Linked DNA regions of Mus musculus: all the other regions are reported to be linked to region 1. The links are microRNA targets in miRTarBase. Many come from high-throughput screens and were not tested one by one. Region 1 holds a microRNA gene; each other region holds the end of a gene's coding sequence.

Evidence for each region. The annotated mature microRNA mmu-miR-190a-5p reads UGAUAUGUUUGAUAUAUUAGGU and lies in region 1 at 4,851-4,872, shown strand. An mRNA with a match to its seed (bases 2 to 7 or 8) in the 3' UTR can be bound and repressed. Matches are read on the target gene's strand: a 7mer-m8 pairs with bases 2 to 8, a 7mer-A1 pairs with bases 2 to 7 and ends in A, and an 8mer does both.
Region 2: the mRNA of Fut9 is a reported target of mmu-miR-190a-5p. Seed matches in the 3' UTR shown: 7mer-m8 at 6,888-6,894.
Region 3: the mRNA of Golm2 is a reported target of mmu-miR-190a-5p. The part of its 3' UTR that is shown has no 7-base or 8-base seed match.
Region 4: the mRNA of Zfyve27 is a reported target of mmu-miR-190a-5p. Seed matches in the 3' UTR shown: 7mer-m8 at 2,844-2,850.

What each region holds. Positions count from the first base shown.
Region 1 is chr9:67,233,800-67,241,571 of GRCm38, reverse strand. It overlaps Mir190a (microRNA 190a), which reads left to right and starts at 4,846; the gene lies at 4,846-4,912. It overlaps Tln2 (talin 2), which reads left to right. Exons shown (of 58, transcript NM_001081242.2): 53 at 768-892.
Region 2 is chr4:25,612,500-25,620,271 of GRCm38, forward strand. Fut9 (fucosyltransferase 9) reads right to left here. Exons shown (of 3, transcript NM_010243.3): 3 at 1-7,772. The coding sequence ends at 7,234. Among named protein-coding and RNA genes, the nearest start is that of Gm24977, 50 kb to the left of the region's middle.
Region 3 is chr2:121,931,390-121,939,161 of GRCm38, reverse strand. Golm2 (golgi membrane protein 2) reads right to left here. Exons shown (of 10, transcript NM_001205369.1): 10 at 2,942-5,684. The coding sequence ends at 5,614. It overlaps Gm39916 (a long non-coding RNA gene), which reads left to right. Exons shown (of 3, transcript XR_866673.2): 3 at 1,592-1,758. Among named protein-coding and RNA genes, the nearest start is that of Gm39916, 8.7 kb to the left of the region's middle.
Region 4 is chr19:42,188,269-42,196,040 of GRCm38, forward strand. It overlaps Zfyve27 (zinc finger, FYVE domain containing 27), which reads left to right. Exons shown (of 13, transcript NM_177319.3): 11 at 929-975; 12 at 1,254-1,335; 13 at 2,115-6,325. The coding sequence ends at 2,179. Among named protein-coding and RNA genes, the nearest start is that of Sfrp5, 10 kb to the right of the region's middle.

The DNA.
Region 1 (7,772 bases):
GCATATGGTACACAAACATATGTGCAAGCAAAACACCCATACATATAAAATAAGTACTTTATAAGTAACTGATGATAGTAATAGTAATATTCTTATGTATAGGGAACAGCACCGAGTATACCAGTTGCCTCTCCTTACTTGCTTACACAGATGCAGTTTATTCACCACGGGAATCAACCAATCTCTTCTCTCTCCTCTCTCTCTTTCTTCTCTCCTCTCTCCTCCTTTCTCTCTCCTTTCTCCTCTCTCTCTACCACATGTTCCCTGAAGAGACTGTCAAAGCTCTATGGCCTAGAGTCTCCTAGGGATGCCCATGTACTCACGAGTGTACGTCAGAAGGCAGAGTGAAGCCGGGCGTGGTGGTACACGCCTTTAATGCCGGCACTCAGGAGGCAGAGGCGGCAGAGGCAGGCGGATTTCTGAGTTCGAGGACAGCCAGGGCTCTACAGAGAAACCCTGTCTCGAAAAACCATTTTTTTTTAAAAAAAAAGAAGAAGGCAGAGTGAGACTCAAGTCTCAACCCATGGAATCTTGAAGCTAGTGTTGCTGGCATTCCTATGGATAGGGCTATACACATGTAGCTGGTTTAGAAAAACATATTAGCACCCCTTATCCCTCCATCCAGATGGTGGAGATCTAGATAGGGCTGAGAGAATAGGCTCATAGGGCCATCATAGCCAGAATGCCTTTTTAGCTTGTGTTTGCGATTACGCCAGTACCTTCATGTCTACACCTACCAAGAATGACTCTCCTGGAACTGATTTTAGGAACAGAGTGGGTGGATCCAGAAGACCCAACCGTCATTGCAGAAACTGAGTTACTGGGAGCTGCAGCATCCATTGAAGCCGCTGCCAAGAAGTTAGAGCAGCTGAAGCCAAGAGCAAAGCCAAAGGTCAGTGTTCACTGGCGGCCGCTCATCCCCTGCGTCCTGCATCCAGCGGTGACTGTGCAGTGGAGCTAAGCAGGGTACACAGAGTTTCTCCTCCCTCCCCATCCTTACACCAGGAAGTCGCACCCGGTCTGCCTGCCCAGCACCATTTTACATAGTGGGGGAGGGGGGCGGGTGAAAACCAGTGAGTGGGTCTAGTTAACTGCCAAGAAGAGTACCTCTGGTTATTCCGAGGAGAAACAGGACATCCACATGGAATTCCACCATGGAAAGCAAGTTGTGGATAGTTTCTGTCAAAGGCTCCTGTTAGTAGATAGGAGACTGACAGCCTTCAGTTCATCAGTTTCTACTGCACCTTTGATACAGAAAGAACAATGCTGGGTATCTTGTTTTCTTAGAAACAACAGGCCTGGAAAATGGCTCAGTCAGTAAACTGCTTACTGGGGCGAGCACGAAGACCCGAGTATGGATTTCCCAGCACCCACATAAAAAGCACACGCGGTAGTGTGCGCCTTTACAGCTCTGAGGAAATAAAAAACAAAAACAACAACAACAACAACAAAAAATCAACCAAAAACAATATGGTGCTTGCAGTGGGTAGAAAGATGGCTCAGTGAAGAGCACTTGCTTTTGCCATTCCAGAGGACCCAAGTTCAATTCCTAGCGCCCACAGCAGCTGGTTCACAACCATCTGTAACACCATCTTCAAGGAATCCCACATCCTCTCTGACTCCATGGATACTCTACACACACACACACCATCTTCAAGGAATCCCACATCCTCTCTGACTCCATGGATACTCTACACACACACACACACGTGCACACAAAGTTATATATATGGAAGTATCGTAGAGAAGCAATTGAGGGAAATACTTGGCATGGACCTCTGGCTTCCACCTGTGCATCCACACACAAATAGAGAATAATGCACATCTCAAAGAGAAACCCAGCACTAGGCTGTTTCAGTGTGTACAGGAGCCCGTGGCTGGCTAGTGTAGTTTTCATAAGAGAAGTAGCCAAGAAGATAGATTCTTTTCTATGGGGCAGTAGGAGCTGGCCCATCTTCAGGGTCAGGCTCAGCCTTAGTAAGCAGCTGCGGTTCCTACCCCACACTTCAGCCACCTTTAGGAAGATGTCAGAAGGAGGAGGTTTCATTTTCTTCCTACCTATGCAAGTCTTTATGGGTATCTATATTCACCTCCCAGGGACCCACATACATTGGGAAAGGAACTTTGGCTATTTGTATGCCCGCCCCAAAAAAGTTAGACCCCCAGTTTAGGTCTGCCTAAATTTCTACCTATTTTTGTCAAATTGAAAGATGGTGTCTGGAGGTTTGAAATACAACAATCAGTGCCAAGGCAGTGTTGAGGACATGTATGCAGCAGACAGGAGGCTAATGAATCTGTTAAGGCTGGAGGCTTCTTAAAGTCGTCAAGGCTTCAGACCTATCTCCTAAGCACTGGCCTTGATGGCAGGCACATTTCAGATTTTCCTCATCAAGGCATAATTTGAGATTTTTGACCTCTGACTTTTGTGTTTGCTGGGGTTTCGTTCCTGGTGCCCTGGGGCTCTTGGATCATCTGATACTGTCAGAGTTTAAGATCTGACAGTCCGGTCAGGGACAACTGCATTTTCGGGTTAGGTTTTTGTTTCTGCTTTGCAAGTCAAGTTAATAGAACTTGAGAAGTATACTTTAAAGGTGAATCTTAAAAATAAGGTTGTGCCGGGCGGTGGTGGCGCACGCCTTTGATCCCAGCACTCGGGAGGCAGAGGCAGGCGGATTTCTGAGTTCGAGGTCAGCCTGGTCTACAAAGTGAGTTCCAGGACAGCCAGGGCTACACAGAGAAACCCTGTCTCAAACCCCCCCCTTCCAAAAAAAAAATATATATATATATATAAAAGGTTGTGAGGTTTGCAGCTTAATCTGCGTGTCTTATGCTTGTCTAGTCTATCCCAAGAGGCCTTTTCACAGGGGATGACTCTGTGTTTTGGTCAGTTGACACCTGCAATCTGTGAATGGGCCTGCTGCTCGTGTATCACCCATATTCCACTATTTTCCAGCATCCCCTGGCCTCCACCCTGTCCTTCTCTAGGGTCCTCCTCAGCTCTTGTCTGTTTTTCTCTGACTGGTTGCTCATTTGCGTCAACATTCTTGATTTGGAAAACAGACTTACTGGGATCTCCTTCATCCTGCAGGATTGTTCTTATAGCATAAGTCGATAACGTAAGAACATGGTGCCTGACTAGTAAATGGTAATGCTATCACCTCTGTCACCATCACTATGACCAGACATATGCTTTCTGACACCTTCATTTTTCATCTTTGTGTGGAAGATAAGGTCTTTCATGGATCCCTAGTTGGGTAAGAGGGCGGGCGACAGGGCTACCGTAAATACAAGACACGGTCCAGACCAGTCTCCTAAGTATTTTATCTGGTCCTCACCACTGTCAGACCGTGTGATTGAGTGGGGAGGGAACATAGAGCTGGGGTCCCAGTTTCTGAACACTGTACTCCCTCTGATACCCCATTGGCAGAGAAAATGATTCCCGTCCCTCAGGACCACTGCACTTTATAGTGTCTTAGGCTGTTAGACTTGTCTCCAGTTCCTTTCCTAAGGAAAAAAACCCAGACTTGTGTGAGAGGGATGTTCTAGAAGCTTGGTTGGTAGCAGTAAGAAGTTGGGGTCTTCTTGAAGGGAAATGATGAGGCTGTTACAGTAATGAAGAGTAATGGTTGCCAGACTGTACAGCGTGAAGATGCTTATGGAATGAGTAAAATGGGGAGAAATGATAACACCTAGGCATCCATGGTTAGTGCTTATGTCACAAAGCTGGGAACTAACGGAGATGATCAGCAAAGAACAGCTAAGACTTGAAATGGGACCAGGGAACGGCAGGCTCTGTGTTTTACAGTTCTGGAAAACAATGTTTGAAAACCACACACATTGAAAATGAGGGGGGCTGGAGAGAGGGCTCAGCGGTTAAGAGCACTGACTGCTCTCCCAGAGGTCCCGAGTTCAATTCCCAACAACCACATGGTGGCTCACAACCATCTGTGATGGGATCCGATGCCCTCTTCTGGTGTGTCTGAAGAGAGTGCCAGTGTACTCACTTAAAATAAATAAGTAAATCTTAAGAAAAGAAAATGAGGGATGGTTGCCGGAGGCGGCCTGTGTGGACCCCTTATGTGTACACTGCTAGGCATTATCCATGAAAGTGTCTCAAAGCAGCTTATCATCCCAAAGCATGTAGCCCCGGGCTTGCAAGGAGGGCCGTCCACCGTGGGAAACTTCTTGCACAATGCATAACATCCTCCTGACAGTTACAAAAGAACTTTTCCTCGGCTTAAAAGAAAAAAAATTACCGAAACAGCAAAACCAGCTAATATTTGAGGTTACTTTTCTCCATCCTGTCCTGTAACCTTAAAGACAAAAATCCTCAGGGTGCCATAAATGGCAGCTGCTCCTGCATACTTGCCATAGTGACTGTGGCCACCCACCCCCATACCACGTGAATGAGGTTATCCTCCACCCAGGCAGAGCACCTGTGCTGCTTGGAGGACTAGTTTGGGGAGGGAGGGAGGGAGGGTGATGACTTCCAGCTGTTTTGATTACCTGGTTCTCAGGTTACCTGTTTTAAAAGGAGACTAGTCTGTGGCATGTGAAGATGGTTCTGGTGTAGTTCCACCCTTGGGCCCTGACCATGGAAGCACCTCCCTTTACCTGTAATCTCTCAGACGTGAGTGACAGACAGGTGCACAGACTCCCTTTTCATTTGGGGAAAGGAGCCCAGGCTCAGAGTGTGTGCCACCAGCATTGTTGCTAATGGCATCCTTGCCACACCTACAGACACGCCTGTGTTCCAAGGCAGGCTGGGAGATACTGCAGAGGTGACTGACTCCCACAGCCATATTCTCAAGCTCAGTCAAACCTGGATGCCTTTTCTGCAGGCCTCTGTGTGATATGTTTGATATATTAGGTTGTTATTTAATCCAACTATATATCAAGCATATTCCTACAGTGTCTTGCCCTGTCTCCGGGGGTCCTAACAAAGTTTAGAAGCAACAGGAAAAAATATATTAAAAAATCACAAGTAGGTTTAGATGACAGAGTGCGTATGTTGTTATGTTTCATTCCATTTCTTCGTGTAGCCTTTAAGACCTGTGTCTTAGTTACCTTTCTGTTGCTGTGACAGGATGCCCCAACCAAAAGCAACTTAAGGCAAAAGGGTGTATTATGGCTTAGTTTATCAGGGGCCAGACCATCAAAGAGGGAAGGCCGGCAGTCAGGAAGTAGAGAGATAGGACAGCAGATGGAGCCAGGCCATAAAACCTCAAAGGCCAGTATGTCCTTCAGCAAGGCTTTGTGAATTCCTAAAGCTTCCATAGCCAAATGGCACTGCCAGCTGAAGACCAAATGTTCAGACACACTAACTTATTATGGATGGGGGATGCTTTGTTTCAGACCACAACAAACTGTATCAATACTACTACATTATCTGTTTGTTGTGGAAAGGGAGTATAGCTCCTGAAGGCTTAAGATATTTTCTAAAGTTTAGTTGAATGCAATTAGGAGTCCTTAAGAAAAGTATTCAGTGGAAAAAGATGGAAGATAACAACCCGTGTCTTTGATATAGGACAAAGGTTAGGATTGTAACTGGCAAACACATTGATCTAGATATTTCTTCCTGACAACTCTCAACACACTCTCACAGATTAAATTTTGTAATTGTTTTCCATGCCAAAAAAAAAATCGGGACATTTATTATCTCTAACTTTCCGCTTCTGGTAACAAATCTAAACCCTGGTGACTGTGCTCACTTTACGGATGGTGAGCCCGTAAACCTTAATTGCAGACCTTAATTTGGATCAGATATGTCTGATGAAGAGAACATGCTCGGGACTGTGCTCTGTCGGTTGAGTTTTCTGTTGTAGGTGAACTTCTGCACAGAGGTTGTTAATATTTAGAAGAACCCGGCAGTCCGAAAGTAAACAAATACTCTAATTGGCTGCCGCAGGAAGTTGGGCTATGACCCAGAAAGCATTCTTTCGGGTATATATCAGCCTCTCTGGCTGCTTTGACTTCTTCCCATAAATGAGTCCGTGAACTGTATGTGAGTTTACTCTGAGCTGTCTAGCACAGAGACTATATAAGTACTTTTCCTGGAAATAGCATGGCTATGCTCCCAGGCCTTGTTGGTTTTACCTTAGGAGGAAACAACTCTTGATGGCACTCCTAACTGTGGATGAGCAAGACCTCTTACCCTACAGGGGCAGGAGAGTAGTTTGACGGGGGTCGTCAGAAAAGGAACTTGGGAATATGTAGAAGCCACCATTGGTGAACGAGTAGTTTTTTTAAGCATCGCTCTAAAAGGTCTTTCGGATGAAGACACTTGCCAGAAGTGGTGAGATTTGGGATGGGGGGTAACTCTGCTGCTGTCTGGCATTCCCATGTGGCTGATTCATATTCTGAGTGGGAGTGGGAACGGGCACACAGGTGTTCTGTGACATGGGAAAGCAAACATGTTTTCTGCATGGCTAAGCTACAGGCTTGGAGCTCACATGCCAGACCTTGGTCCCAGACAAGCAGAGAGTGTATTGCCAGGTGGTTCTCTACCAGGACCTTGTTAGGTCCTTAGATGCATAGAAGGCTCATACCAGAGATTCCTAAGATGAACCAAACTGTATCTCATTGAATAATGGAAAGGCTTCTATTGTCCATACTTCCTATATCAAGGTCCAAGTGACCCCTTCTTCCCCTTTTTGAGAGTATGACAGAATTCTAAAGAATTTATTTTCATCAGAGACTAATTATAAGATCAACTCAGTGGTATTACTTTTTATATTGAATATAAGTTACAAAAAATGTAATAAAGCAATTGTATTATATGGGGAAAAACTATTCCCAAGATACTAACTGTGCAGGCTTGGGGCTTTTCCAATGGATGCTACATGAACCTATTCCTTTATTATCTATCTGGATGTGAAGGTGGTGCGTATCCAGCTACTAACATGACTTGCTCAGCAGTGGTTTCTCTGTGTCACCCTGAGCTTCCCCTGAGACCAGGCCTCTGTGAAGGGTACCAGCTGTTCTGGGAGATTTGCCTTTTGTTAGCTTTATTAAGGATGAAGGAGGTCTTAGAGCCAGCCAACCCACTGGTCCTTCAGAGCACAAGTTGATGTAGCCATGGTATGCTTTGGCCAAGACTTTCTCCCCAAAGCATCTCTCAAGTCAAAACCAGAAGCTAGGCAGGAGCAGCCAGGTTCTGCACAAGAAAGGAAAACATGGCCACCTGTTCCACTCAAGCATCCAACTGTCAGGAAAAGACCTCCTGCACGTTGTGGGAGTCCTAGGTATTGGCCCCCGTTTTTCCCTTGAGGACATTTAACTTACATATAACACATTTACACTTTTAAAAAACTCCACTGGACTTCTGACTTCTGAATGCGACCTTCTTGTAGTAGTGGCCATTCAGTAAGAGACTAACACAGAAGGTGGCAAGATGTGAAATGATGGAAGGGCGAGAAACAGCTTGAATAGCTCTTTGGTACATGTAGCTGCTTGCGTGGAGAAGAGTCATGGTACTTTTTAGCTCTCAAAAAGTCTGGTCTGGGCTGGTGAGGTAGCTCAGTGGATAAAAGTGGCTTGCTTTGCAAGCCTAGCAAGTTGAATTCAATCCCCAGATCCCACAGTGGAAGGAGAGAAAGCTGGCCTGCAACCTCCATATGTGTACCATGACACGTGTATCCACACACATGTACACATACACAGTAATAATAATAAGTAATCGCTTGTAAAAGTCTGGTCTGTATGGACTGGAGATAGAGCTGCTCACTTGATAGAGTATTTGCCTAACATACATGAGGTCCTGGGTTCAGTCT
Region 2 (7,772 bases), not on the chromosome of region 1:
GTCCATTGTTCACATCATATGTGAACCCACATGAGTATACCTTTGCTGATCTCACAGTAACATGAAAGGCTTCTCTAGGATTTTCTTAACCATGAACTGAAGGGAGTTATTGAGACCAGTTTGAGATGAGGGGTGCATTGTAACCAGCTCCTATTTCTTACATAATTAGTAGTACTGGGTCTTGGATGTTAACTGAGATTTTGCAAATCATTTTTCCAAGTCTGATTGTCTAGCTGCTATAACCTCATTAATCGAAGAGAATGGTGGCCTGTTTAGAAACAGTAACACGTTTCTACCACTTTATATCGTATAGAAATCACCTGTAAAACTTTTTTTCTAGTAGAACTTGTATGTTTTTTGCAATGAAACTCCAAGTCTATTAGGTCATGTACTTTACATGTTCGAATAATTTAAAAACATTTGGTTGTCTGAGAATTCAGTAAACCAATTCAAATTTTGAAGTATTTTGATGTCATAATGAAAATATGACATTTCTAGCATTTTTTAAAGAAACATAATTTAAAATAATTAATATGCTATTTTAGTTACTATCCTTTTTTTAACATGTGGAAATTTTCCTTAAATGTTTCTTTTTGGGGCCATTCAACTAAAAAATTATATGTATGCAGTTGAGAATGTTCATGTCAAAATCTTATGTATCATAGAATTTGTCGAGTCTTAATCACAGCCTCCTAAACTTATTTTCATTGCTCGATTTCTGCATCACTGAACAATTTAATTTCTGTTTAATGAGTTTATATCGTCACATTTTTGAACTCTTCCCTTTTTTTAATTAAATCTTAAGGAAAGGTAAAGGGAGACTCTATTCTCTTGTAATCTATCATCAGCTGCTTCTGTGCCTAAGCCAACAGTTGACATGAAATATTTAGTCAAGTTGATGGATATTTCTAAGGGCAATTTCCTCACTAGAAAATGATCTCTGAGAATCTTTCTGTGATTCTGTCCATGGACTTCAGCTGTATAAATGGCTAGCAAGCTAAATTAATATTAATTTACTGATTTCTCGTAACAGTGAAGATTAAGTCTGCTTATTTTAGGAAACGCTCTATGTGGTTAGTGAGATCATCAGTGCCACCACCCCCACTTGCCTCCCAGTACTTTCTAATTTCAGTAGATGTTACCGCAGGCTTCATCACTAGGTTTGTGTAAATCCCTTCTATCGAGGAGTAGCCATTCTGATTTCAGTGATGTCAATGCAATCTTCCACACTATGTTTGTTTCTCTTCTATTGAATATTCACCCTTTGGCTTGTTTAAATTTTCAGCAATTCTTACGAGCTAAGCTGCCAGCCTAATAGCAATAGATGTCAGAGCTGAAATTTTTATGTATTCTAAATTTCTCTTATTTTCTCTTTTTTTTAATGACCAAAGGCATATATCTCAGTGGTAGAACATCACAGGATACACATACATATAATTGTCTAAGGTTTTAGAGATGAATTCATTTGTTTTCAAAATAGGCTACCCCTACTGTACACATACAAATCATGATAACAACAGAGATGAGATCAGGCACAGAGAGTGAGCTAGTGAGTGAATAGCTCACATTTAATATTGAACTCATGATTGTGGACAATCCAAAGTGTTATAACATGTTGCCATATCCTACCTATCAATAAGCTTCTGAGACTCGGGAAAGAAATTGATCAAATATGTGCAATTTTGATGGCTGCAAGAGAACCTAATAATTGCCTACCTTTGTTTTTTGTACTTAAAACTGAAAAAAAAAGTGCATTTAAAAATCTAAGAAAGATTGTGAAAAATAATTTTCAGGAAATGATAGTTTTCCCTAAATCATAGCTGAAGAGCAGCACCACTGTACAAGACACAACTAAGATTGAGGAACATCTTGGACTTTGAAATATAGTAACACCTACCAATATATTTAAGGAGAATCCAAGTGAGCTAAGGAAAGGCAATATCTCATGCCTGTATTGTTTGAGTATAGAATTACTTCTATTTAATAGACAGGACCCAGACTTCCAAAACTAGCAACATGTTTGAATTGTCTATGGACTCCTTAAAAATACAGACCTAGGTCATCCTATGTATTATGACGATCTTTCAAATGATGTAAATAATTCTTATGCCATTGATGTAGGAATTTCTCAAAGCAGATGTGAGTCAGAGAACCTCTGGGAGGCATAGGATTACTTTGTAGTAATGCCATGGTTTCTGTCTTCTTCCTTTATCGTTTTGTTTTGTTTTTTTGTTTGTTTGTTTTTGCTTTTCTTGTTTGTTTGTTTTTTTGTGGTTTTGTTTTGTTTCCTTAAATAAAAATGTTCCAATTACATGGAAAATGGACCAGCTGTCAGTATTATTAATAATTATCTCTGCAAACTCTAGATTACATGGCTTAGGAACAGTGCCTTGAGTAATGCTTTAAAACAGTAGTGGTATGGAATTTACTTTTAAATGAAAATATACCCAAAGTGTGTTAAATGAATGGAAATAAATTAGCCTTGAGTCAAAAGAATAAGTTTTCTAAATATAGTCAATCATATACACTCAAACTCTATATTCCTGTTGATGAAGGAACTCGACATGCTTCCACTGAATTCCTGAGTTTGCATCAATAAATAGTTTTAGATTATTATAGTAAGAATACATATAGTATAAAAAATGTGAATTGTTTTAGAATGGGGTTCAATATATGGTTGTTTTCTGTAGATAACTAAGTGTAAGAAACTGTATGTTGCAAGAGACCTAAGAGGAAGAAAAATATAAAGGAGAAAGATTCGTTAATTGAACACTTACTATATTGTAAGTTTCAGTAAAGAACCTGTTCTTTATTGTTCTAGAGAAAAGAAAGGGAATTTTATTTGGAGTACTAACTTTCAAAAATATTTTTGGATAGACAAGGGAACTCAAATATATGCACATATCAACTTAGGCCTCATATTATAAAGCAGTTGTGCTGAAGGAATTCTTACTAACAAGGTTATCCAGAGAGGTCAAGTGAGTTTCTCAAGGCTTCAATTTGTTGCAATGATAGTCTAGGGTAGACTTACTCATATTTCTAGTTCAACAGTGTGTCTACCATTTAGACTCTATTAACTGCTTATAAATATGGATGGATTGAATATTAATTACACAGGACCATACTTTGGATAGTAGCAGAGCTTAGCCATTTTCACAGTGCCATAAAGACTCCAGAAGAGAGATGCCCACAGCAAAAACCACTTGATTGAGATGATGTTTGCAGTATGTTCACTATACAACAAATCAAATTGGCAAGAATGAAGGGTAAATCTGTTTCTCTCCCCACAGTTTGGTAATACACATTTGCCTATCCTGATGCTTCATTTTTCAATTCTCTTTATGTCCTAATTTCATCTTTATTAGGTTAACAGTTGGTGAATGGTTAATATTAAAATAGAATTCTAAGAAGTTTCAAATCTAGTTTAATCTTTCATAATATTTATTTCTTTTGTTTTTTTTTAAACATATGATAAGAAGGACTTAACCTGTCTGTTCTCTGAATCTAGAAGCAATTTGAACAGAAGAGATTATCCCCATTTCGAATGAAGAAACTGTTATTTCGATTACATTAAATGTATCTTTCATGTCCACTAATTTCATTGAGGTAATTATTTACTAGGCAACCATTAATAACCCCTCCTGTATGAACAAATGCTTATCCTTTAGCTTCTGAAATCTCTTATATCTAGACCTTGATTGCAATTTTTAACAAACCTCCTTCTCTTGAGCTTTGAGTTGAGGGGAGCTGACATCATAAAGCATGAAATAAAAATGTGGAGAACTAAAATGTTTTGAAACATTAACTCACAAAAACGCTTTCTTGGTGAGTAGCAGCCATGAAGTCTACTCTGAAAAAAGTTCAATAAAAAAGAAAATCTGAGTAGCTTATTTCCTGTTTTTATTCATTCTTTATTTAATCTCCAATTAAAGACAAAAGTTTAAAGAGTGAGTGAATAATTCCTCAAGTATTCTGTCCATTTCTACCTCAACAGTTCTGGTTCAAGCTTTGTACACTCTAGGACTGAGCTTCTCACAGTAAATAGAAATCTTGTAAACTGATGCTGGTTTCCCAGTGAGAGTATCTTTTATACTTTCTACTTCATTAGGTGATGGCTGTCCTAAAATATATGGCTATCAAGATCTTCACTCTCTAAAATACAATGCAGCTAACTAGATAAGTCAGTATATTTCTCTTCAGTAAGGCTTAAAATAATTATTTTTGTATTCCTATTAATAAGGCCTGAACTAAATAGCAATTAAATACTCAGAGCACTGGTGATAAGGACTTTCTGCACTTTTAGGTGATAACTTGCTCATGATCTGTTTAGAGCCATCCTGGATCTCTAGGCATATTATCTGCTTTTATTATACCAGCAGCAAGCCAATTTGGTTGAATCAATCAATCTTTCATAAGAGATATGCTTACAGAAAGTATGAGTCACAGGATTTATTAACAGAGCAGCCAATAGCATATCTTGTCAGTGGTACATTTTCCACTCACACATAGTGAAGCTCATTCCTTCTGCTAAAGTTCAACAGCTAAAACAATATCAGAAAGAGTGTCAACATCTCAAATTCTGTTCAATATATTTCCAAAAACTAAAGTCCTCCCAGAACATACTAGCCTACAGGGACTAAATAATGCCAGAGGATATTCACATTTATAGGAATTGAGATATATTTGTACAATAAGGTATGGATAGGGCAGAGAGAAATGAGAGTCATAGCAATAGGATCCTTAAATTCTAATTTCTATCATCACTACGTGTGGGGTTGACATGCCTGTCTCTCAACATATCAGGAATAAATATGTCATAAATAAATAACGAGTTAGTTCACAGAAAAGAAGAGGTTGACTTATGAATATTGTTGTATATTCTAGTTAAAAAGCTCGCTCTAACTATGGACGTAAAGTTCAGACGTTCTGTGGCTTGGCATCAGGTTCTAAATATGTAGATGCACTTGTGAAATACTTAATACCTTGGCTTGGCTTACACTATTGGCATTTAATTGTACTTCCAGTCCAAGAATGAGCTCAAATTCATAGCCAACAAAAGAGGCAACTGCCTTCAGGTCTCTTAGCATCCAATATAGCAATGGTGGATGAAAGCAACATCAAATGCTTTCCAGCTTTCACTGAGAGCATATTCTAAATTTAGCAATCCATGCTTAGCTCTCTACCATTTTTGGATCAAAAAAATCATAAGTAAATGCATGAATTTGACTTTTAAGCAAATAAATATATGATTAGAGCCTTTATGAGAGTATCTATGTATATATATGATTTCTTGGTATACATGTAAAAACGATGTGTGGAAAAAAGATAATCTAGAGAAAAATATATGTTGGATCAAGTGAGTAGACAAAGCTTGCCATTCAAACACATGTTGAGTAGGTAAAGAATGGAGTAAATTTACTAGTATTGTTTAGTATTTTTTTTTTTTAACTAAGTCTCCATTGTCACCCTGCAGTGACAACACATTTTCATCTTTACCTCTGTGGCAGTTGGGGATCAACAATATCACCTGTGTAACTATGTCTTTAAAAAAATATGAGATCATACTCTTCGTTTAATTCTGTGGTCTTTCTTTGCTCAAATGATTCCATGCTAAGGGAGCTTATGTCTCATTGAGCACATACTTCCTGCTTGTCAAACTGAAATGAATCTTCTCTGTAGATGAGGAGAATTAGCCTGAGTTTGGCTAATTGCAATACATAATAGAGAAATATAAAGAGCCACAAAAGATCCAAATAAATGTCATCAGAACATTATTTTTTTTTCTGTAGGTTTTGAACAGAATAGAATGCAGGCTTTAGAAACACTTTGAAGAAAAATTTTCTGTCAGAGTCTTCAGAATCACATTTTTTCCCTAATCTATTGTATTTGCATATGCCCAGTTATCTCCTCTACACTTACAGAAGAGAATTTTGCAGGCAGATGAAAGTTCATAGATAACATGCTCCCAAATTCAGTGCAATAAATTTACATTGGTTGTGTAAAGCCCTGAATATAATAACAACATATTCTATGTATGGATATTATCTTAAATGGTATAAAAATGATAAATTTTAATTAATAGCTCTTGGCTAGAACTGTTCCTTTATCAAAAACAAAAATTTACCCATTACTTTTTTAATACTGATAATTTATTTAAAAAATACATATTGAAATCTTACTCTGTGTCAGCACTGTATTCCTTGTAGGTTCCCACTTTATTGTGTTTTGTGACATATCTGACCCATTGGTAAGAATTTTAAACTCTTTTAAATGATCAGATAGATCTTTCAAGTTTTACTTCTATTTATTAACAAATACAGTAAAATAAAACTTAAATATGGATGCTTTGGAAAAAATATTTCAAATGAATGAAGTAACTAGCGTTCTATAAATGGTATAATTTATACATTTATTTGTATTTGAAGATATCATTTTTTTATTGTTATAAGAGGAAATTATTTATTTTTAAAATAGTGGTTATCTTCATGATTTGAAAGGGAACTATCAAAAGATTCTCTTAGGTATTATTAGGGACTAAACCCACAAAACAAACAATCAAATCTCCCTAAAACCATATAAATTGTTTATCTGAAAATTCTTGTTTTCTTTAACTTAAAATATTGGGAATCTACATTTGCTAAACAACTTAATAAAAATGAATGTGAAGTCTAATAACATTTCTGCTTCATATCTTTCTTATTTGCTACATCAATTAGCTCCCCTTCACAAATGTGGTACAAGTAAAAACTCTATCAGTTGTCAGTAGTGTTCAACTTTGAAGTCAAAGAGATTAAGAATTAAGTGATTCAATAATTCTTCTTTGTTAGCATTATACAAGCTAGAATCTATACTTTATAATACTTGGCAAAAAGTCCCTCATATTTTAGGATATGTATTTTTATCTCCCAAATAGATTAAAGATCTGATTGATGTAGAAACAAGTAAATCATAAATTTACTTTACAGTCAACTATAAAATGTAAAAACAATGTTTATAAATGAGAGTGACAAATAAATTATTTCCAGTGCTCGTTATCACATATATACAGGATAATTTAAAACCAAATTGAGTGATTGCTAATTCTGATCTCTTAAAAATTTCACCAAAATATACATGGTCCTCAAGGGAGGGCAGGAAAATTAAACGGTGCCCCAAATGCAGCGTGTTTCTTCTTATCCTGAAAACTTGAATTATGTCTCATTAATCTTTTTCACTGTGACAATGATGGACACTTTAATTCCAAAACCATTTCTCTAAATTACCAACAGACTTATATTCTTGATGCCTTTTTACATGGTCGCATGCCAGGCATGCATGTGATTCCCAAAACCGTGGTAGGTTTACAGTAAAATCCTTTCTCCAGTTAAAGTAACTAAGGTACAACTTATTGTTTTTGTCAACTTCCTTCAGATATTTTGCTAACTCACTGGGAGAGTTAAAATCTTCCACATGAATGAATGAATCAGCTGGAATATAATTCTCATAGTTTTCCCTAGATGGACCCAGGACAACAGGTACTGAACCAGCCAAAAATGCATTGTAGAGCTTTTCTGTGATGTAATCTTTGTGAATTGAGTTTTCAAATGAAAGATAAAATTTACAAGTAGATATGGTGGGAATCAGATTTTTATCGTTCACGTATTCTCCGAATGCTTGGCCATAGGTGTGGATTTCAATACTCTTGCTGAGCTCGTTGTAATACTTGACCCTGGCATGCTCAGGGTTCCAGTTACTCACAACCCAGCACACCAACTTCTCCTTGCTTGGCACTT
Region 3 (7,772 bases), not on the chromosome of region 1:
CACCAAGGAAGTCAGGACTGGAACTCAAGCAGGTCAGGAAGCAGGAGCTGATGCAGAGGCCATGGAGGGATGTTCTTTACTGGCTTGCCTCATCTGGCTTGCTCGGCTTGCTCTCTTATAGAACCCAAGACTACCAGCCCAGAGATGGTCCCACCCACAAGGGGCCTTTCCCCCTTGGTCACTAATTGAGAAAATGCCTTACAGTTGGATCTCATGGAGGCATTTCCTCAACTGAAGCTCCTTTCTCTGTGGTAACTCCAGCTGTGTCAAGTTGACACAAAACTAGCCAGTACAGGTAGTTACCAGGGTGACCATTCCTAGGGACACTATTTCTCCCATTCATAGCAGTTGTTAACTGCTTATAGTTCTTTATCTAGGGTTGGCATCCCATGAGATTGCTCCCATCTGCATTAGGCTATCAATTATTACTATTCAGGTCTCTTTTGTTGTTGTTGTTGTGTTGGTTGGTTTTGGTTTTTCAAGATAGGGTTTCTGTGAGCAGCCCTGGCTGTCCTGGAACTCACTCTGTAGACCAGGCTGGCCTCGAACTCAGAAATCCACCTGCCTCTGCCTCCCAAATGCTGGGATTAAAGGTGTGTGCCACCACTGCCCGGCTCTATTCAGGTCTTAAAAAAAAAAAAAAAAACCTCTCATATATTACCTGGTCACAGTTTCCCCTACCTCCCCTCTCGCCCAGATCCACCCCCTACTACCCTGCCTGAGAAAAAAAGAAAAAGAGTAGGCCCCAGGGGCATCAACCAAACACGGCACAAGAAGCTACAATGAGACTAGGCACATACTATCACATCAAGGCAGCCCAGTAGGAAGAAAACGGTCCCACAAGTAGACAAAACTTAGGGCAGCACCCCTTCCCACTGGTAGGATTCCCATATGAACACTAAGCTATTCAGCTATAGCATATATTCAGAGGACCTAGGTCAAAACCATACAGGTTCCCTGATCTCTGCAAGTCCCTCCGAGTCCCAGTCCGTTGATTCTGTGTGCAGTGTTCTAGAGATGTGTCCCTGAGCCCTGTGGTTCCTCTGATCCTTCCTCCTGGTTTTCCACTGCACAACCTGACCTCCACCTAGTGTTTGTCTGTGGGTCTCTGCATCTGATTTCATCAGTTGCTGGATGAAGTCTCACTGGTCACTTTGATGACAGTCCTTCTAGCATCTGGTCCCAGAACACTCTGCAGCAGGACAAACTGAAGGTGGAAAGTGTGGAAAGTTTTATGGCTGAGTTGGTATTCCTATCCCCCACTTGAAGCCTTGCCTATTCAAGTCTTGTCTAGGCAGCCATGTGGTTGAGATTTCAAGGGTGTGGCTCCCTGACATAGCTACAATCTCAGAGCAGACTTCCTGGTCCTCTGACTTTTTTTTTTTTTAAAGATTTACTTATTATTATACATAAGTACACTGTAGCTGTCTTCAGACGTACCAGAAGAGGGCGTCAGATCTCATTACAGATGGTTGTGAGCCACCATGTGGTTGCTGGGACTTGACCTAAAGCCTTTGGAAGAGTAGTCAGTGCTCTTACCTGCTGAGCCATCTGGTCCTCTGACTCTTATGTCTTTCTGTTCTCTCTTCAGAGATATTACCTGAACTTCCAATGCAGTTGTGCTGTGATGTCTCCATTGTGACTGCGTCTTGTTCTCTGCAATTGACTAGTTGTGACTTTCTGTAATGGTCTCCTGCTGCAAACAGAAGCTCCTTTTGATGATAGCTAAACTCATCTGTGGGTGTAAGGGTAAGTATTTGGAGTGCAATTACGAATTATAGTGTTGCTTTTTTAAAAGATTTCTTTATTATTATATCTAAGTACACTGTAGCTGTCTTCAGTCACCCAGAAGAGGGCATCAGATCTCATTACGGATAGTTGAGAGCCACCATGTGGTTGCTGGGATTTGAACTCTAGACCTTCAGAAGAGCAGTCAGTGCTCTTAACTGGAATTACAGTGTTTTAGGTTTTCCTCAGGCCTGTGACCTCGCACAGGTAGATGACTAGATTTACAGGACCTGGAATGATTTCTGTCCTGTTGAGCAAGCCTTCAATATTAGAAAGCTGATGGTAAACCCCAAGATATCTGTTATTATTTTACCAATGTAGATCTGTTGCTGGCCCAGTGCCTGCTGTGGTTCATAGGTTTTACAGCTGGGTAGGACTACCCAATGCTGCCCTTCCTTGACAGCTTGCATAGCACAGATCCTATGAGAGCAACTCTTCAGAGAAACTTCCAGATCAGCTCCAGTTGGATTACTCCAAGTTCTGTCTGAAATGTATCATGTCTTCAGCAATGAGAGACAACCAGGGAAAACAGCCACAGCTTATATTGTTTTGCGTCTCTTGAAGTCTGTTACCCAACAACTTGAGAGGGTGGTTTCTCAGGCATGATATTAGAGTTTTTGTTAGGTAGTCAATGGTTTTTTCAGGAAGCATTATTGCCCACAGTAGTATAAGTTCTTTTTAACAATCTCTGCCTCTGTTACTACCTAACTCTTTGCATGTGTACATACACATACATCTACGTGGTGGTTTGAATGAGAATGGCCTCCACAGGCTCATAGATTTGAATCCTTGGTCACCATAGAGTGTACTTATTTAGGATGTGTGGCTCTGTTGAAGGAGGGATGTCACTAAGGGTAGGCTTTGAGGTTTCAAAAACCTAAATCAGGCCCAGGGTCTGTCTGTCTGTCTGATGTGTACTTAGTAATATTTAACTCTCCTCCCCAGGGTTAGGTCACCCCACACCCACTTTCCCATTTCTCCACTTTATCTCTATTTTATCCATTTCATGCTGACTGCTTCCACATTAATGTAACCTCTAGAAAAGACCTTGTCTATTTTATTTACAATCTCACTACCACCAACTAATTCTAAGGACACAAAAGACTTTCAACCTTTACAGAATAAGTTGGTTCTACAGTAAACAACCCTAGTCTTTTTTTTTTTTTTTAAAGATTTATTTATTTATTATATGTAAGTACACTGTAGCTGTCTTCAGACACACCAGAAGAGGGCATCAGATCTCATTACGGATGGTTGTGAGCCACCATGTGGTTGCTGGGATTTGAACTCTGGACCTTTGGAAGAGCAGTCGGGTGCTCTTACCCACTGAGCCATCTCACCAGCCCAACCCTAGTCTTTTAGTCCAATTTACCTTAAAATAAATGATAACATTTATTCAAGTTTTAATGTCAAGATGTAAATGTTTATATTCATGTAATTATATATATATAATCAAAACTGTGAAACAAGTTTAACTTTTAATTTATTAGAACCCAGAAAGTGATGATTTTTTTAAAAGCAGAGTTCCCATCAAATTAACACTTAATTCAGGGCAAAATATATTAAAATATAACAAAATAAAAAAAAAACCCTAAATCTTAAGGCAGAAGTAAAACACTGTAAACAGAACAAAATAGCATGTCTAATACAGACTGTAGAATGTCACAATTTAAAGAGATTCACATAGTATTTTATAGCACTAAAATGTTAATACAGTCAGAAATATTATCAATTGGTCCAAGATTCCTCAGTTTATAAAATGTCTAGGCTGCTAATTGAAGTTTTTTTCCATATAAAGATAGATAGGTACCATAAAATCAAGTGACTGCTTTTATAACAGAGGAACCAACAGGCATCTTTATGATTTTGTCTGTACAGTTCTACAGTATCAAGTATGGAGTATCACTAGGCATTTGTAGGTTCAGCTCCCCTTTCTAATGCCCATGGTTGTATGTCACTCCCCTTTGACTGTATTTTAATGTGAACCATACTTTTTACTACAGAGGCCTAGCTTTACTGATAACAAAATCATGAACTGTTTAGTTTCTTGGTGTGTGGGTATGTGCGTGTGCAGTTACATGTGTGCACATGTAGGTACAGGTGTTTATGAGTGTATGTGGAAGCCAGAGGGTCAACTTGTTTATATATGCGTGTGTGTGTGTGTGTGTGTGTGTGTGTGTGTGTGTGTGTGTGTAGATGTTCCTCAGGAACAACTGTCCCTTACAGGGACCTGGAACTTGCTAATTAGGCCAGGATGGCTATTCAGTGAGCCTCAGGGACACACCTGTTTCTGTTTCCTCAACACTAGGATTGCAGTTGTGATACATGCCCAGTGGTATATAATCTGAGATAGCAGAAAAAACAAATTTTAATAAATTATTCCATCTTTTCCTGGCCATTAAATAACTTTGGACTGAACTATAAGGACTTCAGATGTCAGCAGGTGAACAATACTTCTGTTAGTATTTGGATTAGAGCCTTAGTGTGGGGACTTTTCATGTCTACTTACTTGTCTGCTGTTTTTAGTGTTTGAATCAAACCCAGGCCTCTGCACATCTGAGCTACAGTCACTCTCTAGTAGTTCATGCTTATGTGTAATTAATAGCAGCCCTTCTTAAAAAAAAAAAAAGGAATAATAGCCTTGGGATTAACAGCCTTATGATCAACACCTTTAATTTTTAGGGAACACAAAAAAATTAAAAGTGCTTGAAATCAGTAAACAAGGATTAGCTAGCTTATATATCCTAATGAATAATGCCAAAAGACACAATGCACTGAAAATAATTCTGTAAGTCTAGCAAATGAGCTTGGTGGGTTCTTAACTAACATTAATTACAAATACTCATTTTTTATTACAAAGTTTTCAGCTATTTCAATAAAATAGCTGCAGACTTCACGGTACTTCTACTCATCTGTTCATTAATAAAAACCTGTTAAAATCCCTTACTTAGTAGTTCTGGAAAAGTCTAATCAAATACGATCATTAAAACTACCAGCAAAGCTTTGCTGTACTGATTGCAGACTCATTTCAAAGTGGATTCAGTCTCTCTCAGGGTCTGACTCTTAACTGGTGAATGTATTCACCAGCTTGAGCTCTGAAAATAGAAAGAATTTTAGCCAGTGCTGACCAGAGTTAAACAGTTCTGGTATTACTTGAAAAATAAAAATACACTGTCAACCATGCATTCCACAACTTCAAGAACCAAGTAAGGAACTACTGATAGATATGGTAAGGATGTAACGGTGACCTAGGCTTTTCATCAGGCCTCAGCACACTCACATCAGGGCCCATGTAAGATAAAGGAGTAGAAGGCCATTCTGTACATTTGCCCACTGTCTGGCATCCAGCCTCCCCACTTCTGTGTAACTATTCAGAACTTCTTCAAGAGTGTTAACTGAGGGGTAGTAGAGGACACCTATGGGGGAACAAAAATGTAGTAATGTGGACTTTTCAGCCGAATAAGTTCTCATTGTGGTTATACTATGTGCAGCATATAACCTGTACAACCATTTGTTCCTGTTTGTCTCTTTGTGAAAAAAAAATTAGGCTCAATAAAATGTGAAATTTACATTAGTTTGCTTTAAAATGCAAAGATTAACTGTTTTTGGCCCAGCTGTGTAGTAACCAAAAAAAGTATCTGCTTTGATAATATAATATGAAAAAGTTCACATATGTACATTGGTACATTCCTTCATTAAAATTTCCTTAAATCTATCTCAATGTATCTTTACAACTGATACAACTGATCTTTACAGCAAAAGTCAAAATTGACAAGTAGAGATGATCTGTTGCACAGCACTTTGGGTTTCGGGAATCCCTTAGACTTAAAGGACATCACTGAAGCGCTGTTTGCCATAGTCTGCAGGATCCATCTGAAGCTCTCGTTCTTCATCATCTGCAAGCAAAATAATATGTATCAAGAATAGAGTTCCAAAGTTGCTGCAAAGAGCCAGCTTCAAAGTGTCTCCAGTTTTTCAGCAATCTTTTCTCATTATCCCATATGTGCTTGTTATCTTAAACAGTGCTCTGTTCCTTAGCCACATGGCTGAAGTGTAAATAGTCTATCATTACTTTGTAAGATTTAATTTTAACAAATATTCTTAGCTGGACATAGTGGCTCACACCTGTAATCCCAGCTCTAGGGAGCCTGAGGCAAAAGGATTAGAAGTTCAAGACCAGCCTGGACCACATAGAAAACTTGAGGTCTACCTGGGCTACATGAAACCCCATCTCAAAGAAACACCAATCATCTCCAACTTTCAAACAGAACAGAGTCACTTCTGACAGGTACCGGGGAAATAGACAGACAGAGCTAGCAAAATGTTAGGAACTCACAGCACTGAAGAGCTAGTGCTGTGCATTATCTTATGGACTGGAGAGATGGCTCAGCAGTTAAGAGCACTGACTGCTCTTCCAGAGGTCCTGAGTTCAATTCCCAGCAACCACATGGTGGCTCACAATCATATGTAATGGGATCCAATGCACTCTTCTAGTGTGTGTCTAAAGACAGCTACAGTGTACTCATATAAATAAAAATAAATAAGTCTTATAAAAACAAAGACAAAAACCCTCATCTTAGCTGGTCTTATGGGGTTTTATGTGCCTGTGAGGTCCTAGTTTAAGGTCATTCCTATCTCCATAGTTTCAAAACAGCCTAAGCTACAGGTGACACTCTTAAAAACCACCATCATCTTTTCAAACTATAAAGGTAATCTACACTCATCATGAAAAAAATTAGAAAATAAGAGAGAATATAAATTCTCCCCAATCTCAATATGCATTTCCAGGAAGTTCTCTACAAATAGCTTACTCATAACTTTCTAATCAGAGCACATGTACCAAAAGTTAGAGCTTTCTTCACCAAAAAAGAAATTATAGCTGCGAGACCCCAAGAGCCTTTTGAGCAGCTGTAGTGAGTGACTCTAGTGAGTGCCTTGCAGTCTGCTCTGCCTACAGTCTCATCTGTCAGCTGCCATTTTGCAAGTTCTGTTTATTTCTCAATAGCCCTCTCCCTGCCCCCCAAATTTTGATATACAACTGTTCAAAATAATTAAGATTATGTTAGAATAAGAATGAAGGGGAGGGGGTGTTAGAGAGCTGGCTCAGCAGTTAAGAGCACCACTACTCTTCTGGAGAATTCAGAGGACTGGGTTTGCTTCTCAGCACCCACATGGCAGCTCACAACTGTCTGTAACTCCAGTTCCAGATGATTGGACACCCTTACAGAGACACACATGTAGGCAAAACATCAATCAATATACATGAAACAAAAAATTAGTAAAATTTTTTTTAAAAAAATGAACGGAAGTTTAATTAGGAGATGGCTTTGTGCATTGCTTCCTTTTGTTACTTATTTCTTAGTATCACTCATAATTTACTGACTACCATCTGAAAATGAAAAGCAGGGTGGCTCTATGGATATGCTTTTGTATGTACTACTGGACTATTATAAATTAGGGACCATCTTTGAATTGGAATCATATTGAATTAACATTTTTCATTAATTCCTGGAGAATTTCATACAGTGGATGAACCATATTGACTCTGACTCCTCCCCTGAGATCCAAGGTGCCCTATAACAGTAAGTTTTTGAGACAACTTCATTATGTAGCTCAGGCTTGAACTCACAATCCTATTTCAACCCTCCACATGCTATTTTGGGCTTTCTAAAATGACCAAACAACCCAACTTTCTTTTTCCTTTCAACAACTTCCCTGTTAAAATCATAGAATTGTGAATTCAAACCACCATTTTGTAATACAATCTGAATATTGATCACTTCTTTTGTCACAGGGGGTGCTAGGGTCTGAACTCTGTCTGCATACTTGTCAAGTGTTGTCCCACAGGGCTCCATCCTCAGCCAGTTTATACTTGTTAGCTCACTTGCTGTTTCATCTGTTTTATGTGGTGCTGTGGGCTCTGACTACCTGCTTACTGAGCCACATCCGTAGATTGCTTTTATTTTATTTTTTTAAGATTTATT
Region 4 (7,772 bases), not on the chromosome of region 1:
GTCAGTGAGCACGTTTTCTTATCCCGCTAGCATCCTGGAGTTTGTGTTCTCTCTGTCCTTTACATGGCTGTGAGAGGTCCAACAGCAGAGATGTTTGCCTCAGATACCTCAGCCTTGCTCCCCTGGCTCCATAGTCTATTGTCCTTGATCCCAGGGAGCGTCTTTTAGCAAGAGCTGTGGGCAATCCTGGCTGACTAGGAAGGAACTTTGGGACTGTTACGGGCAAACATGTTACCCAGGAGTCACAGTTGTTCTTTCTGCTGCTGCCTGCAAGGTCATAGCAGGCCCCAGAACCCATCTCTCATCTCTCCTCCATCCGCCCCAACTGCCAGTCGTCACCCGAGCGGCTCTGGCACAGTCTGAAGCTCCTCTGTCCCCCTGTACTTGTGGCTTTGGAAGGCTTGTGTTGCTGCTTGCCACCAGTGCTTGAGACCCTGCCCTTCATGTCATGTTGGAAGGTGCCCTGTTTCAAGCTTTCTCTTGGGATCTTCTGATGACAGAAAGGAGTTTGTGTTTCTTGGAGGCGTATCTGTCCCTCACTGTGGACAGATGTTTGGAAGGAGACATTATGAAAAGGTCACATCTAGTAGGCTTCATTGAGGATGCTGGGGTTCAGGTCCATGTTGGCTTGGCTAGATTTCAGGGGGGAGATTCTCTGGTTGTTCTTTGATAATCTGCCAAGCTTGTGAGTGTGTGTGGCACTTGGTGTTGGGAGCGTGCAAGGACTCAAGCTGTGTGTAGCTTGGTGAAAGCTGCTCTGAGGAGCTGGCACCTTTACTTATTTTAAATACACATATTGCTCTCTGCACCCAGCTAAGATGCTGGGCTGTGCCTGGCTGGGTCCTGAGTGGCCCAGTTAGAGTCAGGAACAATTTGGGTTGAGCGGCCTGGGTTGGATCGTAGCTCAGCTGCTGCCTTTGTCTCTCAGGGAATTGTGCAGGCTGTGCCGCTACGTTCTCCGTGCTGAAGAAGAGGGTGAGTCTGCTGCTGTTTGCCGGGGCAGTGTGCTGTGACTGGGGCTGATGCACGACTTGAGGAGAGTCAGCAATGGAGTCTAAGCCCTCATTCGAGTCATAGGACCAGTGCCCTCTGTTTGCTAAGGCCCACACCCTTATCAGCCTTCTGTTGGCTGTTTTGTCCTGTCTCATCCCACCCACTGAGGCCCCTCTTCTGTTGTATAAAATTGGAGGGAGCACTGGGGTGTCAGGTGCCTGAGGGTGGGCTCCATCTGACACTGTTGTTCCCGTCTACAGCGGAGCTGCAGCAACTGTGGGAACAGCTTCTGCTCGCGGTGTTGCTCCTTCAAGGTGCCCAGGTCCTCTATGGGAGCCACAGGTGAGCGAGGAGGCCAGAGAGGCGGCCTGTGGGAAGGACTGAGGCTGCCCTGCATAGAGCAAGACAGCTCCCGAGACTCCTCTTTCCTCCCAGAGGAGACCACCTGGTTGAATCTTATTTCATTACCCCAGGTCCACTTTTAACAGAATCAAAGGAATTTCTCTTCCTTTCCTAAATGCTGTGTATGTTTGTTGTAAATGAAACCTGTAGATGAGCAAAAGGAAGTCCTCCCCTGCCCCTGTGTTCCTGACAGGCAGAAGGGAGCATGGATGTGCACATGTAGGAAGCATGAGCGTGCACATACAGGAGCGTGGATGTGTATTTGTGCTCTTGACAACTGCGGTGATATCTTACTTCCTGCCCTGTGATGTGCTGCAGTGTGGGGCAAGGCTTTTTGCCAATCTTACAAGTAGCACATGCTTGTTAACTATAAAGTTTTGAGGTTATTATAAAGAAGAAAGGAAGAGAAAAATGATCCTGTAATCTTACCACCCAGAGATTTTTTAACCACTGTTAAAACGTTTAGGGAAAATTTCCTCTGGTATTTTATTTTGTTGATGCCAGAAGAATTTCCAATGCATAGAACACCTGGGAGAGGCCTGCTGTTGGCGTCAGAGCCACAGTGCCCCAGCGTGTCTGAGGGAGGGAGCTGGGTCAGGGAGGGTGTGGGCCGGGCCGTGGGTGGTCTGTCTCAGGACTGGGGAGGCTAATTCAGTACTTGGCACCTTGAGCCTAAAGGGTACAAAGAACTGTCTCACTGAGTTTTTCTTTCTTTCCAGCTCCTGAAGCCCAGAGAGAGACTGTGTGTGTGTGCGCCTCCTGCAATCAGACCCTGAGCAAATGAGAAGAGAAGCCAGGCTCCAACTGTCCTGGGGCCAGCAGTGACCCTACTGTCCCAACTCTGGGCCTCTGAGGCCTGTGCTGGGCAAACGTAGCCTGACAGCTAGGTCCTTCCTGCCCTTCCCCTGCTGCCTCCAGCTGGGCTGGTGATGCTCTAAGGCCCAGGGGGAGAGGAGCCCCTGGGGTCCCGGCTCTTGGTTCTGCTCTATCCTATACCCTGTTAACTCAGGGCTAGCGAGGGAGTGTCCACCAGAGGGCAGAATTGAGCACAGCCTGCTCTCATCTGGGCTCTGGTCGTCAAGGTCAGGCTGGCTAGACCTTAGGATCCAAGAGACTTGAGGTTGGAAAAGAGGTTCTTCCCTGTTGGGTACTTGTCAGTCTCTCAGCCCCAGAGAGCCTGCGAGGGGACTTAGAGCTCCATGGCCTGCCTTTGCCTTTTGAATAGCCTCAGGACTGGCGTTCCCAGGTGTCCCAAGGAGAGGGAAGGTGAGGGTGCTGCTCAAGTCCTTCAGTGTCAAGTGGATGGCAGGATGGGGAAGCTCTGCTTACAGAATCTTAACTCCCATGGTTCTCTGGTGTCCTCAGCCCTGCTGGGGTGGCTACAGGACCCTCACATCACTCTTCCATCCTGCTCTGAGTCTAGGGCACCCCACCTTTCTCCCACTGCCACATATCTCTAGCCCTTATCTCATGGAACATGCGGCCAGGTGAGTGGAGCAGAGAGACTGCAAGCCTTTGAGGTCCAGGGACGTGTAGGACTGCCCGGATTTCAGGGCTGTTCCTGGAGTAGAGATAGCATTGTAGGATAGGGTCAGTCACATGGCCAGTTTTATGTTCCCTCTGACCTGCCAAGGGTGCTGTGCCTCTTCTTAAGCCATGAGCTGGCTCAGGCCCCTTCCCCTGGAGCTTTTTCAGAGTATTTATTTATTTATTTCATGGTTCCTGAGAGCACGCAGCACAGGGTAGGATGAAGAAGACAAGGGGCTTCTGCCTGAGACCCTTCTGCAGTCATGGACTGCCCTTGGAGCTGATCTTCAGGAACTGTTTCTGCTGCCCAGTCATGGGTGTGGTGCCCACACCTGAACCATTTGAGGTCCTCCTTGCTGATAGGCCACACACACACAGCAGTAGAGCACTGAGGGTTTGGCAGTGGGGACCAAGCAGGTGAGGTGTACTCCTTTGTCCTGGTGAGAGATGCTCACCTCTGCGTATTTATACTGTAGAGCAGTAGACAGGAACGCTGTGGAGAATTGTCAATAAAAGGCCCCATGCTTATGGTTTTGTCAGGTCTCCTAGTGCTGTTCAGGTCTTTCATGTTGCCCAGGGTGGGCTGTAGGTGGGCTTTGCACACCTCCTGTGGCAATTCGTGAGCCAGCCAGGCCCAGTGGAAAGCTGTGCCTTATCAACAGGAGGGGTGGGCTTTATCTTGTGACCAGACCCACGGTCTTGGATTGAGGTTGGGACCAGAACTTAACTATAAATAATGCAGGCTTCAGAATGGAAAGGTTTTAGCTAATCCTCTGGGAAAGACAGAAAGGCCAGCGCTGCAGGAGGCTGAGAGCTGGTAAGCAGGTTTCTGGTGGGGTGAGGTGCAAGTTGGCCCTGTGATCAGGCTAGGCTGGAGCTGGGCACTGCACACATTATGTTAGCGCTGGCACCAAGCTCATGAGGTAGGCTCTGTTTTCCACATGGTAAGGCCGGCAGTGCACAGCAGCAGCACTGTGAGCCAGCTCTGAGCTCAGCCCCACCTACCAAGGACCCATGTGCTATCATCCTGTAGCCTTTAGAAAGAATGCACATCTGTCCTGTGTCCTTATAGCAAAAGCCACTGCTGCCTCCTCTTCCTCCTCTCCCTCCTCTTCTTCCACCACCTCCTTCAACAAAGAATGATTTTAACTTTTTTTTTTTTTTTTTTTTTTTAAGGTATCAGGCCATCTTATTGAAAGGTGACTGTGTAGCCGGGCGTGGTAGCGCATGCCTTTAATCCCAGGATTTGGGAGGCAGAGGCAGGCGGATTTCTGAGTTCAAGGTCAGCCTGGTCTACAAAGTGAGTTCCAGGACAGCCAGGGCTACAGAGAAACCCTGTCTTGAAAAACCGAAAAACAAAACAAAGCAAAAGGTGACTGTCACTGCTGAAAAAGGCTGGCTGTAGTCACAGATGTGAGACAGGGGGCTTGCCTTTTTTGTTTCCTGGAGGTCCCTGTGAGAACAGGTGGGGAGGCTGTCTTCAGATGCAGGTTCCTCTTAAGAGAGCAGAGCTAACAGGGTTCAGCAAGGTTGGTGATGGTGTCACCATGGAGCCTGTGGTACAGAGATCTCAATGTGGAATGATAGACAGCTTGCACGTTGTAGAATTGGATGTCTGTGTCAAAATACACCTTCCAATTTGCTGGTACCCAGGAACAGAGACAGAGAGCCAGGTTGTGTTAGAGTCCTGGCATGTGGCAGGGCAGGTTTGGAACTCTGGCATCTAGCCTGACTTGGGCTCAGGTCTGTTGAGTCTTTTGTGGTCTAGTATGTGGATGTCTTCAGAAGGTCTTGGCAGACCTGGAATAGGTGATGATTTTGGGGTGTTTTCTGTAGCCCCTGGGGCTGAAGCCAAATGAATCTCCTTTTTCAGAGATCTGTGTCTCTTCTCACAGCTGGCCCTGTTCACAGGTCATCCTGCCAGGGACTATACCTAGCCAGTAGCTCATGTCTTACAGTGTCACAGTTTGTCTAGTTCTTGGATATTCTAAATAGGTAAATAGAGGTACTGGGGTGGGGGGTGTTAAGTTCCCCACCCAAAGTGGAGTGGGAAACACTTGTGTTACAAGTGTTCATAGCAGCTATGGTCTAAGAAGCCTTGGGTAAAGGCCATGTTCTGGTCCCCACTCTCTAAGGAGCTAGCCACTGAGCTAACAGACTGGTCTGCCCCACCCCCACCCTCTTAGCACCATCCCCCTTCAGTCTCTACCAGAACAGAAGTGGCCTTGTGGCTGGAGCCCCCACCTTCCCTAGCTCCCAGTGACCCCACCTCCTGCCAGCAACACCCCAGCAGCACATTCCATTCTCTGGCACTGCTGGTGGCTGGGGATTCCGGGCTCCTTTGGCGGTGAGCCTTCTTTGGGGCTCCAGCAGAGGCTGTTTGGGCTGGGACACTAGGCTCCAGCCACACACATTCCAGCAACAAACACCCCCCACATTAGATTTCCCAAGGAGTGAACTTTAGCCAGGATTACAGATGGCTGCACAGTTGTGGGATGTGAGCTTGCTTTGTGCAGACCTGAGGCTGGATGCTAGTAGGGGTGAAAAGGAATGGGTGGGAGCGGCAGGCTTCTCTGCTGCTGCCTGGGCTCTTGTAGCATCACGGAAGCAGCTGAAGGCAGCCTTTGAGATTGCCTGTCCCGTCCTATCTCACCTCTGTAGAAGGTGGTAATAGTCCTCAGACTTTTAAGCTGTAGGCTGTGATTCCGTGTGGTATCCCGTAACTGCATGTGAGGATTGGGAAAAGTTTGGTGACAGTAAAAGGCTATCAGACACCGAGCAACTAAAAAACAATTCAAAACCAAACTTGAAAATCAGTTGGAGGTGTTTGTGGAGTCCTGTCCTGAGCATCGCAGTCTTGGTTCTGAACACACAACAGGCACCCTGTGCCCTCTGCCTCCCCTCCTGCCACACAGCCAGTGAACACTCCTTGAATCACACAGATGTGAGACCACTGCATATTGTGAACTGCAGTGTTTTTACTGTCCAGTCAGCTCCTGCTTTTACAGGAACACAATGGCTTACAGAAAATAAGGACATACTATTGCCCTGCTTGCATGTAAATATCAAAAAAGTACATCTTTGCATCACATTATATTGGAATACTTGATTTTAAAAATTAATGTTTGTGGACTAGTGAGATGACTCATTAGGTAAGTCCTGGTCACATGGGCTGGACCCCTGAATTTGATCCCTGGAACCTGTGTTAAAAAGCCTGATGTGTTGCGTCTGTAGTCTCAGTGTTCCTATAGCAAGATGGGAAGAGACAAGAGGATTGCTCTGGAGTGTGCAGGAGGCTGGCATAAACCGGAGACTGCCTCAAGAAGATTGAAGGACAGAAGCAGTTCCTCTGGCATCTACACTGTAGCACAAGTAATAACAAAAATTAAAAAAGAAGTGGAAACGGCTGACTTCAGTTTCATAAATTTTTTTTTTTCAGTGAACTTTGACTTGGATCAGGGATCAGGATAGAATTTCAAACAATTTATGAAATGTCTCTAAACATACTTCTGCCATTTTGTACTCTCTGTGTGTCTATATGCAGAACAGCATTCTTTATTTTTTAATTTAAATTTAATTTTTTTGTTTTTTGAGACAGGGTTTCTCTGTGGAGCCCTAGCTGTCCTGGCACTCACTCTGTAGACCAGGCTGGCCTGGAATTCAAAAGATCCACCTGCCTCTGCCTCCCGAGTGCTGGGCATAAAGGTGTGCACCACCAATGCATGCCACAGAACAGCATTCTCAGCACTGGAGATTATAAAGTCAAAACTGATCATCTGTAAGAACTGAGTGCTGTGCATCCTATGCTATCAACCACTCAGCCAAGGTTTAATCCCTGTGTAAATACAAACACATCTGTGCATTACTGTGCAGGTTTGCTTTCATCCTTACGTGGTGTGTGTATGCCCAAGGGTTATTTTGAAATAGATTTATGGCTAAATGTTTGATTTATATAATATATGGATTTTACGTATCTATGCCTGGAAGCAAGTAAGCGTTTCTTGGGTGGAAGGTTGTAAGTGGGAGGGGTTAAGAAGTCCTGGGTGGTGGTTAAGAGTTTGGGGACAAATGGAGCATCACCATTTATGTTGTGCAGCTTGGTCAAGAACCTTAATGTCTTTGAGCTGTTACTAAAATGCACCACCTCTGGCTCGGTGTGGTGGCACACACCTTTAATCATAGCACTTAGGGGTAGAAGCAGGTGACTCTCTGAGTTTTTAGCCATTCTGGTCTACATAGTGTGGTTAGCCACTTAGGGCTACACTGTGAGATCCTATCTCAAAATGGCAGCTGTAAAGCTTAAATTAGAATTCCAAAGTGCTTTTGAGTAGTGTCTGCTATTTGCCCTGGCATGGGTTTATATGCTACCTAGGGGCCTAATTCTGAAGCAAGCAAAACCCCAGATGTAGTCTCCATACTTCTGGCCTTTAGGTAAGACGTCCCGGCTTTTCCCTGCCCTCTTGTCAGTCATGTATCTCAGTTGAGTGAAGAATCAGGTATTTTGCTGGGTACCTACTGTGTGTGGGCATTGTTGTGTTAGCGACAATACAAATAACCACCATTGGCCACCTAAGCTCTGCATTATGTCCAGGTCCTTGTCGCACACTCGGCAGCACTGCCATGTACCCAGTGTTGCCTGGCTACTAATTCATAGGACCAGAGGCCAGAACTACATTGCCTCTTCTCACCCCCACCCCGAGTGTGAGGTTCCTTGCTCCCAAGTCACTCCTGTTTTCTATGAGAATTTTTATGTTTTTTATGTTCAGGTGAAAACTTGATTTCCTCCGCTCTCTCGAAGGGAGGGGGTGGTCATGTGATTTAGTCCTAGCCTGGAGCTGGAATGGAAGCCG